Caenorhabditis elegans: one gene and its partner. The protein of the gene in region 1 interacts with the protein of each later gene in a biochemical or structural test. Each region holds a gene or a part of one and is shown on either strand. Other genes may lie near its edges.

What was found.
Region 2: the proteins of lev-11 (region 1) and unc-27 interact in far-western blotting, tested with the Caenorhabditis elegans proteins (one study listed by BioGRID).

The regions. Positions count from the first base shown.
Region 1 is NC_003279.8:14,627,064-14,634,146, reverse strand, and holds the start of lev-11 (Tropomyosin isoforms a/b/d/f), read left to right. Parts: upstream 1-3,052; 5' UTR 3,053-3,187; coding exon 3,188-3,232; intron 3,233-3,367; coding exon 3,368-3,505; intron 3,506-4,205; coding exon 4,206-4,262; intron 4,263-7,083. UniProt on the Caenorhabditis elegans protein: Tropomyosin, in association with the troponin complex, plays a central role in the calcium dependent regulation of muscle contraction. Involved in muscle actin filament organization and muscle arm extension and morphology.
Region 2 is NC_003284.9:8,786,200-8,791,224, forward strand, and holds unc-27 (Troponin I 2), read left to right. Parts: upstream 1-3,256; coding exon 3,257-3,406; intron 3,407-3,457; coding exon 3,458-3,729; intron 3,730-3,809; coding exon 3,810-3,951; intron 3,952-4,006; coding exon 4,007-4,136; intron 4,137-4,183; coding exon 4,184-4,218; 3' UTR 4,219-4,422; downstream 4,423-5,025. Other genes in the region: ZK721.3 (G_PROTEIN_RECEP_F1_2 domain-containing protein), read left to right, coding at 477-600.

The DNA of each region.
Region 1 (7,083 bases):
TGTGTGTGTGTGTGCACTAGTGGAATAGGAAGAAGAAGAAGCACAAAAACATGAGCATTTTTTCGAAAAAGATATGTACGAGAGAACACATGGGTGTTCTCATTTGACGAGTATATTGAAATTTGGAAATTTTATTAAGGTACTACCGTAAATATATACACATGCATATGAATGAATATACATTAACAGAAAACCGGAAAAAGAAAAATGTACACTGTTTTCGATATTGCTAAAAACATCAAAAATCCCCATATCCGTTCAAAAACAATATTGTGTTATATTGTTTTACAGTAATGAAATTGGAGGCAAACTGTCCCCAACTACCGGATTTTGTAATGAGACGTCTTGAAAACTTCTCATTACGAAATTCGGTCTTTTTGGGGCATTTTAGTCTAATAGAGCAAAAATTGACTTATTTAAATATTAAATTATTAACCTGAATATATACTGAAATGGAACACCGACTTAAAATAAAAATTGATTATAAGGATTTTGTTTAAGTATTACCGTAAATATATTCAGTAACGGAAAATCGAAAAATGGAATGTGTACACTATTATAGTAAATTTTGATACCGTTAGATAACAATTGCATGTTCAAAAATTTGTATTGAAAAAATTACTAAACCTGACAAAAATTGAATATATACTATATTATACTGTATTAGAACTGTTATTGCTATATAGCCTCTAATGGGAAATGATTATTTGCTATGGTAAATATCCGGAAAATTTTAAGTTTTTTTTTAAAAAGCGTAGCTGAGTAGTAAAGCTTAATGAAATAATGCAGTAAATACGAAAAATGCTAAATTCAGACAGAAAACCACAGTCTTCAGGAAATTTCGGCTGACACTACTTATTTTCATTAACGTTCAATTTACGATAGCGTGCAAAAAGTAACAATATTTCCTCTAGCCTTATGTAGACTAGAAGTTATGGTAATCACGTTTGATATAAAATTGGGTTGAAGTACTTAATTTTGCGAACTTATCTGAAAATTGACTAATCCGTCAATGCATAATTATAGTAAATATGTCATTTTGAACATTAATTCGGATAGAATGAAATTTAGAAAAGAAGTGTCTTTTCTTTTCCGACACATCCAATACGAACAGATATTATATAACGAGGTCCCCCTAGTCATATTACATGCAAGACTAATCGATAGGAAATAGTGTAGCAAGTAGCTGGTACTATTCATGGATCTATTTTTCATCACCATTATATAATCGTAATACATACATACATGCATATATACATGATCACGAATCTTAGTTGACATTAAATTATCACGACTTATTTAGAAATACTGTCTATGATAAATAGTTTTAACAAGTATTCTCCTACAAAATCATTAAATATAACCCTAAATTCAAAATAAACCACTACTATTATACCTCTTCCACATAATCCACTGATATTATCAAACAAGTTGCCCTCTTGACAATAAACTCTCGAACGCCAACTGTTTCGAATGTTTTGTCGTCGGCTGGATGCCACAATTGCTTCTTTTCGGGGATAAGAAGAAGAGCATATACACACAAGTAGTATTGGATTCTAATGTCAGGATTTCAAAAACTGAGACTCTGATCATTGACCGACTTTTGGGAATCTGAGATAAAAAAAAAGAACAATAACAAAAAAAAGTTTAAGGGAAGTAAATGCGTTTCTATGGATAGTGGGTAGGGCTGTACAAATCGGCGTCCGGTCGTCCGATTTTGACACCACCGGACGCACATGCGTCCGGTTGGGGGTAGCTATCCACGACGGCCGACAACTTCCGAGTTTCGCCACTCACTATACTTAATCAGCAATTTTATAGTGAGTGGCGAAATTCGGAAATTGTCGGCCGTCGTGGATAGCTACCCCCAACCGGACGCATGTGCGTCCGGTTCGAACTTCGGACGACCGGACGTCCGGTTGTACAGCCCTAATAGTGGGTAAAGAGAAATGGAAAAATATGGGAATGTATGAAAATTGGAAAGATGAAATGTGGTACTTCTTATTGTAAAATTAGACACTAATCAAATTCCGGAGAACAAAGCTATGTAACATGGCACTGTAAAAACTGAGCTTGTCATATTTTTTAAAATTCAGTTTTGATTGTTCAGTTTTCTTTAAAAATTCATTCATGAATAGTTACAGTAATAGGATATCTTATATCACGTGTGCATTAGTGTTGCAACCCTTTCCATAAAGTTTCAAGGTTCTTAAAAAAAGGTTCAACTGGAAAAAAACCATACTTGTAGCATACTCTTTCGTAGTGTAATATTACTAGGGAAGCCCAGATTTATGATATCTGTTCATATTGGATGTATGGTGAAAGGCAATATGATTTCGTTATGTTAGGCTTGAAGGCTTGTTAATAGGCTTTAAAAAAGGCTACCAGTAATGTTAATGTTAAGGTTGAAGCCTTGTTAGGCCTCGAAAATGAGACACTTATTTTTTAATTTTAACTCCATTAATGTTCAAATTTAAGGATGTCCTTAAAAATGTAACTAATTTTAATGACACCATTACTTTAATAATTTATTAAAGTTTTAGTCAATCTTGAGTTAAATTTTCGAAAATTTTGCAGCAATTTGATTTTACATCACTTATGGTTATTATTACTAACAGTCTAGATATATAAGAAATATCGTTACTATTTGTACGATAACGTAATTAACAATCAAATTGATAATCGTTTCAATTTTTTAATGTAAAGAGGCTCAGAACGGCTTTTGCCACGTCATCAAGCGACCACGCGAATATCGGTCCTGGAACACCATACCACCTTACTAATTATGTGGTTTTTTTTTAAAGTTTTGTTCCTTTTTCCATTCCACGAGAAACCCTTCTTCTCCCCAATCATCATCTTTTCCATCTGCCATCGGCTCTTGCTCTTCTCCCCACAATTCCCGTTGCTCCGTGTGTGCTGTAATATGCTCCAGGGGGGTGGGTGGGCAGGGATCCCATAGGCATAGGTCTCCACGAAATCAATACTATCTAATCATCTGCCACACCCCCGTCTGATGTTGTGGAGGAAGTGAGAAGAGAGAAGAAGAAGAAGAAGAAGCGGGGGCTCGTGTGGGAGGAGTCTCGTGAAGACGGGAACCTGAAGCTAACGGGAGAAGAAGAATCATTCTCCCCTCCAATTTGAATCGTCGATACTCCGTGTGTTTCAACACAACAACAAACTACCAAAAATGGACGCCATTAAGAAGAAGATGCAGGCCATGAAGATCGAGAAGGTTTCCACACTTTTTTTAAATTTTAATACTGTTTTATAGTGAATTTCTTCAACTTTTTCAATTTTAAAATTAGTAGTGGTCATATACATTCCAATATTTTGAATTTTTCCTCAAAACCATATACACATATTCTAGGACAACGCTCTCGATCGTGCCGATGCCGCTGAAGAGAAAGTCCGTCAGATCACCGAGAAGCTCGAAAGAGTCGAGGAAGAGCTCAGAGACACCCAGAAGAAGATGACTCAGACCGGAGACGATTTGGACAAGGCTCAGGTATGGGTTTAAGCCAGAATTTAGGCTCTTTGCGTATATTTTATCGATTTTAAGACCCCATATAAACTGGCTTCCTAAATTTTCGCTTAGATCTTGGTTTGATAAGACTTTAAGCTATCAGATTTTTACCAGGAAGCTTAAAAATTCATGAAAATCGCAGGAGTTTCTAGAAGTTCCAAAATATTGTCTAGCTTCTACTTTGATACCATATATAATTAGCGTATTATTAATACCTACTTTCTCAACTTAAAGCCGCTATCCCGGAAGATTTTGGCCTGAAACTGAGCAAAGTTCTGAAAAGCAGAAGTTGAGCTCTAAATTTCCTAATTTTTTGGAATCAAGCTTTTACAATACCTTATATATAGCGAATTTTGATTACAGTCCGATTTCAGAAAACAAAATTTTTTAGAGACACTGGCGCTCAAGTAACCTATAAAATCTTAAAGTATAACTAAAAATCACCCTAAAAACAAAATTCGAAATTCATAGTGCAGGGTGCTCAATTTGTAACTTTTAGCCCTAAAAATTTAACCTGGAATCTAAAATTTACCTAGGACACCACTAGAAATCAAATTCGAAGCTCATGGTGCATCGTCCACCTAGGTCTACCTGTCTCCCTGGGCTTATGCTCCTAAGCTGAAACACTTAGGCTTAAGCTAAGCTAAAAGAATAAGCTCAAAATCAAACTTCCATTTTTCAGGAGGACCTCTCCGCCGCCACCTCCAAGCTCGAGGAGAAGGAGAAGACCGTTCAAGAGGTGAGTCGACTTTCTTTTTAAAGCCCAATCCGGGCAGCTTTTGGTTTCTAAACCGACTTCAGGTATTTCCAATTCCCAATCCACAAGCACAACGACCAGGTTTGTGGCGCGATGTTCAAAGTCAATTAATCCGTTAATTAGTCAGTGAGTAGTTGGAATGAAGAGAGAGAGATACATACATATATACAGCTAGTTTTCCATTCCTGTCCTTTTGGGCATGAAAATGAGTGAGAGAGGGTGACGTTGATGATGATCCGCGGTTTTTTTCTCTTTTCCACCCTCTTTCTCTCACTTCCCATAGGCTTCTTCCCCCACCGGGGTAGCTATTGTTTTGTGTGTGTGTGTGTGTCTTCTTTTTTCAATAATGTTCATATATATATATATATATTGTTTCTTCAAATGTTTGGTATACATTGTACTGTATTCAATCATGATTCACTTTTTTCATTCCGTCGAGAGTCAGAGATAGGGTACTGTAGAAATCCTTCTTTCCCGAAAAAGACTTGATCAGGGTGTGGCTGTTATCTAGTTAGCATGTTATATAACATTATGTAATGATGTTCAAACCAGATTGGCATCACTTTTAGCTCGGTTTTCCAGATTTCCCAATTTTGTAAGTTGTCATTATACTGTTTTATTGAAAACTGATTGTGAGCAAAAAGTGTTGTCAATTTATGTAATTCCCTTTAGTCATTGCTATACGTTCTTGAAAAAATTTTGTTGGCTTAAAACATTCTTAAGCTCCGGCCTTAGCCAAATTTTGCAAGGCTACTTTTCAATATTTCGGAAAATTCTAAGTGGTGCCATGTGATATTTAATTTTCTAGCTTAACAAGCTATTAGTTTTCAAGTACTGATCCTAAAAATTTAAAGCTTAGAGCAGTGGCATTTTTTTTGGAATTTCACTAGTCTGGCGGTAACTTTAAGCGAATGTGATCTATTAACACGTGGTGCCAGGTTGTCTCATTGAAGTTTGATCTACAAAAAATGTGGGAATTTTTAGTCAGCACATTCTTAGCCATGCGAAATCAGTTAAGAACTGTGCGTCTCTTCTCCCGCATTTATGTAGATCAAACCGAAGTGAGCCACTCTGACACCACGTGTAATATAATAATCCAGCAGAATTCAAATTCCTCGTGGTGATTTTTCATGCATTACTTTTCATAGTCTTCGAAAAAAATGCTCAATATTTCCAACTTCGGAGTATTTCAAGTGTATGTTAAGCCTATTTTGAATCCCACGCATCACCGAATTTATCTAGATTCCTAGAATATCTACAGTGCATTTTTTTCCACTTCTCCAACTTTAAAGGAGGGCGCATTTATACGAAATGGTCCCGCCACGCGGCCCAAAAATCAATGCGTGGCGGGACCATTTCGTGTAAGTGCGCCCTCCTTTAAAGCGGTAGAAGTGGAAAAATATCAGTGATTTTTAGGAAAAAAACCTTTTTTTGTCGAGAACTTTTTTCCCTCTCCCGACGTTTTTTTTGCACACAACTTGGCGCGCCGAAATCCAATTTCTTTGCGAAAAGCTCAATCCCATTTTCCGTTACTGCTCAAATGAGCGAGAGGCGAAGAAGAAGAAGAAGATAAAGTTCGAGGAGTGTATGAAGTGCTGTTGGGGGCTTCCTTCCCCTGCCTGCGCCATTGTCTAATCTCTAAGTCTCTCTAGCTTCTCTCTCTCTCTCAATTTCTTCTCTTCCAACTGATTACAACGAGATGTTTGCTTTACAACAACTCCTCCCCGCCAATAGGCTCCCGAGGGCTCACTGAGCATCAACGGGCGGCGCGGCGGGAAAGAGAGAGAGAGAGCATCTCCCCCGCAATTTCAAGAAACGAGGAGAGCTGTGTGATCGGCTTCTCGGCATTTTTCAAGGGGCAAGTGAATGGCATGTCAGTTGAAATGGAAATAAATGAGAATAAATGAAAGCGCACACACCAAAATAGAAACTACAGTAGTGCCTAATGGGTCTCGCCACGATTTTCGTAAAAATTCTAAAATTCCTAGGATTTTCTTCCGAGAACTAGGCAAATGCGCTGCATTTTCAAATTTTTTAAAGGAATTTGCAGGGTCTTAGGTACTAATTTCTAGGGGTTTTATTTGACATTTTCAGGCGCTTATTGCGGAATTTCTTACTTTTAGTGTCAGGCTGTCCCATTACTGTTTGATCTACAAAAAATGCGGGAAATTTAGAAAGAAATTACAATAGTACCGAGTAGGTCTCGCCACGGCAAGTAGACGCAAGTTTTGACTCTTTTTGTGTAAGGTTTTCGGTGGAAACTACTCTACAATTCCCAGGGTTTTCCCTCAGATTTTGGTTCTCAGATACAAATTTCTAGGGTAGGCCCTTAATGCGAAAATTCTTACTTTCGGTGTCAGGCTGTCCCAATACTGTTTGATCTACAAAAAATGCGGGATTTTTTGTGACATCAGCACGTTTTAACCATGCAAAATCAGTTGAGAAGTCTGCATCTAAATCCCCGCCATTTTTGTAGATCTAGGTAGATCACACCGAAATGGGACGTGCTTTTGAAGGGCAACTTTTGAGCGCCCAAAAGTTCAAAATTTTGGGGAATTTTCCCGCCTAGCTAACAATTTTTCCTGAATTTCCAAGTTTGTTCGGCCAGTGTTCCCAGTTTACAAAACTGGCATTGAACTGTCATTCAGCTCAAGACCACCTACCAATTAGAGACACCTTCGGTACATACACCCCAGTCAGCCGGTTTCCCGGTCTCCATCTCTACCACAATTTGAATAGAACATGTAATTCGGGTAAATACTCGACGTCTTTTCTTCCTCTCTCTCTCTCTCTCTCTCTCTCT
Region 2 (5,025 bases), on another chromosome or scaffold:
GATAATCAAATATACTACATGAAATATACATACGACATCAAACATACTACAAATAACCTACTATTTAACCTATGAATGCGTTTGAAAGAAATGATGCAAAATCAAGTCTGTCAAGAGAATACGAATATTAAAAGAATACTAACTGTTTTCACAACAAACTTTTTATTTTGGAAAGTTTGTCATTTCAAAAATGCGGCTTGTTTTTATTGTTTTTTTGTTTTTATAGTCTTAGTATCTCTCTATTTTTAGCCGATTTATTGTTTTAAGTGACTGACATTATTTTAAGACTCCAGAAATAAATTGGAAATTTAATCTTCTGTAAGCACGTTTATGAAAAAAAAAGTCGTACTAATATATTACCAGTTTTTGATGCTTGATTGTTTGTATTTGCTGTGTATATAAAACGTGTTTGTAGAACAGTGTTGAATTTTTCACTGGTTTATTTCCATTATCCTCTGGGCAATTTTCAGTTTCAGATCTTATTCATCCAACTCAAATGTTTTTCGCAGCAGTGCAACAAACTACAATTGCGACACGGGGCTTCTTTTGGATAACGAAATTGACACAGATGCTGAAGAAGAAGAAATTGCCTATCTCTGATCCTTGATCTTAATTCATTTCTCACTTCTTCCGAATTCATGCTGCCTTAACTTTTTTAACAACTGACTGATCACGTCAGTTGTTGTTTGTCATGTTCAATTCTCCTAATTGTGCACGCTGTCTGCCATTGAATTGTAATTGGTGAGAGGCAGATGGGAACTTATAACGAGTGAAATAGTATCTCAAAATTATGGTAAAACGATAAACATAGACAATGTACAATTTCAGTTTGGGTATTAACAAAATTGAATCTCTATTTTTTTTTTAAATTTGATATCAATATTAATTTACATCAAATCTCATATCTCATGCTTACATTGTTAACCTTTTGCTATCCATTTTTCACAATAACATTTTCATCTGGTTTTAAAGATTTTGCAATAAATCTCTTTTGTAAATTTCACAAAGCAGCTTAAATTGTAAACAATAAAAATATTTTGATATCCTGCTTTTAAGTGATCAAACGTACATTAATATTACTTTTTGAACGAGGAGTTGTCGATACGTATTGAGTGAGCGTATTGTTTATACAAACTTTTTTTGAAGTTTTGACAACAAACCGATATAAATTTTTTTAATCATACTGTCACTAACCAAGAACGTATAAATGCGCTCTTGATAATAATAAAGATCCGAAATGAGTAAAATAGCACTCGCACATTTTTCCTTCTCTCACTTATACTTGTCCAAAATAACCAAATGTCATAATTTAACACTCCTAGGATTTTTGAATTTCTAAAAAATTTTAATGCGAAGCTGTGGTGAATTTTGTTTACGGAAAGTTTGAGTTTTTAGGATAATTTCGAGAATTTGTGCAAGCTCCAACACCTACTTCCAATACATACAACTGAACAGGGATTATGTGATCAAGTTCCAATATTACTTTATTTATACCCAATTTAGCTCATTATTAGTTATACCTCACTGAGGACACTACTTCTAATGAAAATTATTCCTTGATAGCAATCAAGAAATAATTTTCTAAAAGTAAAAAATTGTAAGCTGTAAAAGTTCGGTAGTGCCAATTAATTTACCCATATGACAACCGCTCATGTATAATAATATTTCGTAACACTTGTGCCCCCACTACTGCTCAACGTTTTTAACCAAAACATCATCATCGCCTCCATCAGCTATTTTTCTGTATCTTCTTCCGATGTTTCTCTTTCTCTATATACTCGTTGCAATGAACAATGTATCAAAAGAAAGATAGAGCTTGCCGCATCAGAAGAAAACAGTGTAAACTATTCGGAGATTGGCAGAAAAGCGTGATAACACAGTTGAAAACAATTCAAGATAAGAATGTGAATGTTTATGGAAAAAAGTGTTAAAAATAAACAGGACAATAGATCGGTTTAATCCATCACTACTCCATAAACTAAAATGGGTGTGAAAATAGTTACAGGGAATTGGAATTTATTTACAAGTTTCGGGTTGTTATTTACCATTGTTGGAAAATGTAGATTTTTCTCGTTGTGATCTGATTTTTGAATGTGTGATTTTTTTAATGATTTAGATTCACTTATTTTATAGTCTTGTCAAAAATAACTACTTTATGATAACAACTGATAAATTCAATTTGAAAGTAATAATATTCAACTTTTTGTGATAACTAATGATGATTTGCATACCCAATTTCATTATCCCCGCTATCTTTTTTCTTTATCACTTATCACAAATCTCAAACATCTGCCCACACCTCGCAACACTTTCAACTCATGGTCCCTAACATATTGAATTTCAAGAGAGTCTCACCGGCCACCGTGACTATTTTTATTGTATTTTTCCACACGTCACACTTGTCAGCTTGTCAATTTTTTTTTAGGTTTTTTTGTTTTCTGACCTACTCAAATCCTACGTGACAGCATGAAATTATGGAACTGAAAGAGAAATGGTTGAAAACAAAACACTGTGAAAAAATAAATAAAATTATTCTTGATTCTGATGAAAAATGTCATGTTCCAATTCACTTTTGAAACAATTTATCCAACAAATATTTACAGATCTCACTAGCGAGCCATGTCACAACTACAAAAAAGCAATCGAATTGATGAACTCAGTGACACCGTTGAAAAATCAGTATGTTATTTTAAAAATTGTTTAGGTATTTTTAGTAGTACGATTTTGATTTTTGATCACATATCTTCTTTTTGAAAATACAGAAAAACTACAGACTAGCTTCATAAATTGTTCGGAGCCCCATTCACCGAATAGCTCATAACTTGACCCACTGCCCCATCTGAAACCAATATCTTCTTGCCGCGTTCCGTTGGTTTTTTCCACTGAAGTTGCCACAGCTCTATCCCTATCTCTCGCTTGTCTTCAATCAATCTCGGCCAACGCAATTGGTAGGCAAGAATCATTACAACAAGCGGGAGACGTGTTGGAAAGAGCATCTGTCTGTATGGCATTGTCCGAGAGACCCAAAGATACAGAATTGGAGGGCGGGCGGTTTGTGGGGCGGCTGTTGCCAACTCTAGGTACCTCTCACGAGTTGCGACATCTATTGGCAGGATACTTCAGATTTCAATTCACAAGGCCTTCGGATGCATGATCAGGCTCGCCGCTAATTTGTTTTATGCTCATTCAAAAATTATTCATTTTGTGAATTTAATCTTCTGTTTTGTGATACTTGTACCCCAAACTAAAATTTCAGATGAGTGAAGAAGCCGGAGAGGACGCCCAGCGCAAAGCTGCCGAGCGCGAGGCCAAGAAGGCCGAGGTGCGCAAGCGTCTCGAAGAGGCCGGAAACAAGAAGAAGGCCAAGAAGGGATTCTTGACACCAGAGCGTAAGAAGAAGCTTCGTGTAAGTTGTGTTTTTGGAACACTTAAATGTTTAACTTATTTTTGATTTCAGAAGCTTTTGATGGTCAAGGCCGCCGAGGATCTTAAGAGACAACAATTGCTTAAGGAGCAAGAAAGACAAAAGGCTCTTGCTGACAGAACCATCTCACTTCCAAATGTTGACTCCATTGATGATAAGGGACAACTCGAGAAGATCTACAATGACCTCTGGGCTCGTCTTACCCAGCTCGAGGAGGAGAAGTACGACATCAACTACGTCGTCTCCCAGACTGAGGCTGAGATCAACTCCCTCACTATTGAGGTCAACGATCTTCGTGGAAAGTTGTGAGTTTTTATCAGTTTTTGATGAATTTCCCATATATGTAAAATCATCCAAAGTATTGATTTTACTTTTTATTTTTCAGCGTCAAGCCTTCACTCAAGAAGGTGTCGAAGTACGACAACAAGTTCAAGAAGAGCGGTGAGAGCAAGGCCGGAACCAAGGAAGACTTCCGTGCCAACCTCAAGATTGTCAAGAAGGACGTTATGGAGGCCATCGTCAATGTTGTAAGTTTTATCTGCAATGTTCGAGAATTTTGATAAACAAATATTTCAATTTCAGAAGAAGAAGGACGACAAGCCAGATTGGTCCAAGAAGAACAAGGATGCCAAGGCCGAAGACTCCGCTCCAGCTGCCGTTGCTCCAGAAGCTGAGCCAGTTGCAGAGGAAGCCGAGGCTGAGCCAGAAGCCGGTTTGTCAAAAATGATTTAGATTTTCTCGATAACTGAAAACTTGCAGAGGAAGAGGAAGGAGAGGAGGAGGAGGAGGAGTAAACTCCTAAATCCATCACTTCAATCCTGCTCAACATCATCCAAATCGACGTCATCAAACCGAACAACCCCCCTCCCCAAAAAAAAATATGCCAACATCAATATTCTGTAGTTTGTAAAATACTTTTTTACCATTTTATTCTTCCTTCGATGGGTCCCGGAAATTTAAATGTCAACAACGTGTGTGCTAATAAAATCTTGGTGGTCAGACTTGTGTGTTTGAATCCTTGAAGAAATATGAGAAGGAAGTGTGAAGTGTAGTAGGGAGTGTCTGGTTAAAAGTGATAAGTGAAGGAGAACGTGGGAGGAAAACATGAGAGGATCACTCTCCTGGGCTCTAAGAATAGTGCGAATAATTTTGGGACGCTTTGACAAACTCATTTGTCAGATAACGTTTCAAAAAGTATTTCAAATATTTTTGACACAATTTTGAAACACTCACAACATTCAACACCACAGACGCCAAAAAAACTGTTCTTGCAATTTCAAAATTTCGATCAAGTTTCCATCTGTTGAAAATTGATACATGAAAATATCTCTTTTAATTGTGCAGAACTTAATCAGCAATATTCATATTCACAGTTTAGCTGTTATGATACAATGCTGCAGTAAATTTGAAGATTATCGTGATCTATGGAGAAAATCAAGGGAAGTTGATAGCTTGGAAAAGCAAACAGGAGAGCACATTTCAATGAAAAGTCAATAGTTTTCCAAAAGTACTGTACTAGTATATTACTGAGTCTAATAAACAAAAAAAAACTGGTATCAGACAAGTTTTTCCTATCAGTTTTCAAAGATTAATTCAAATCT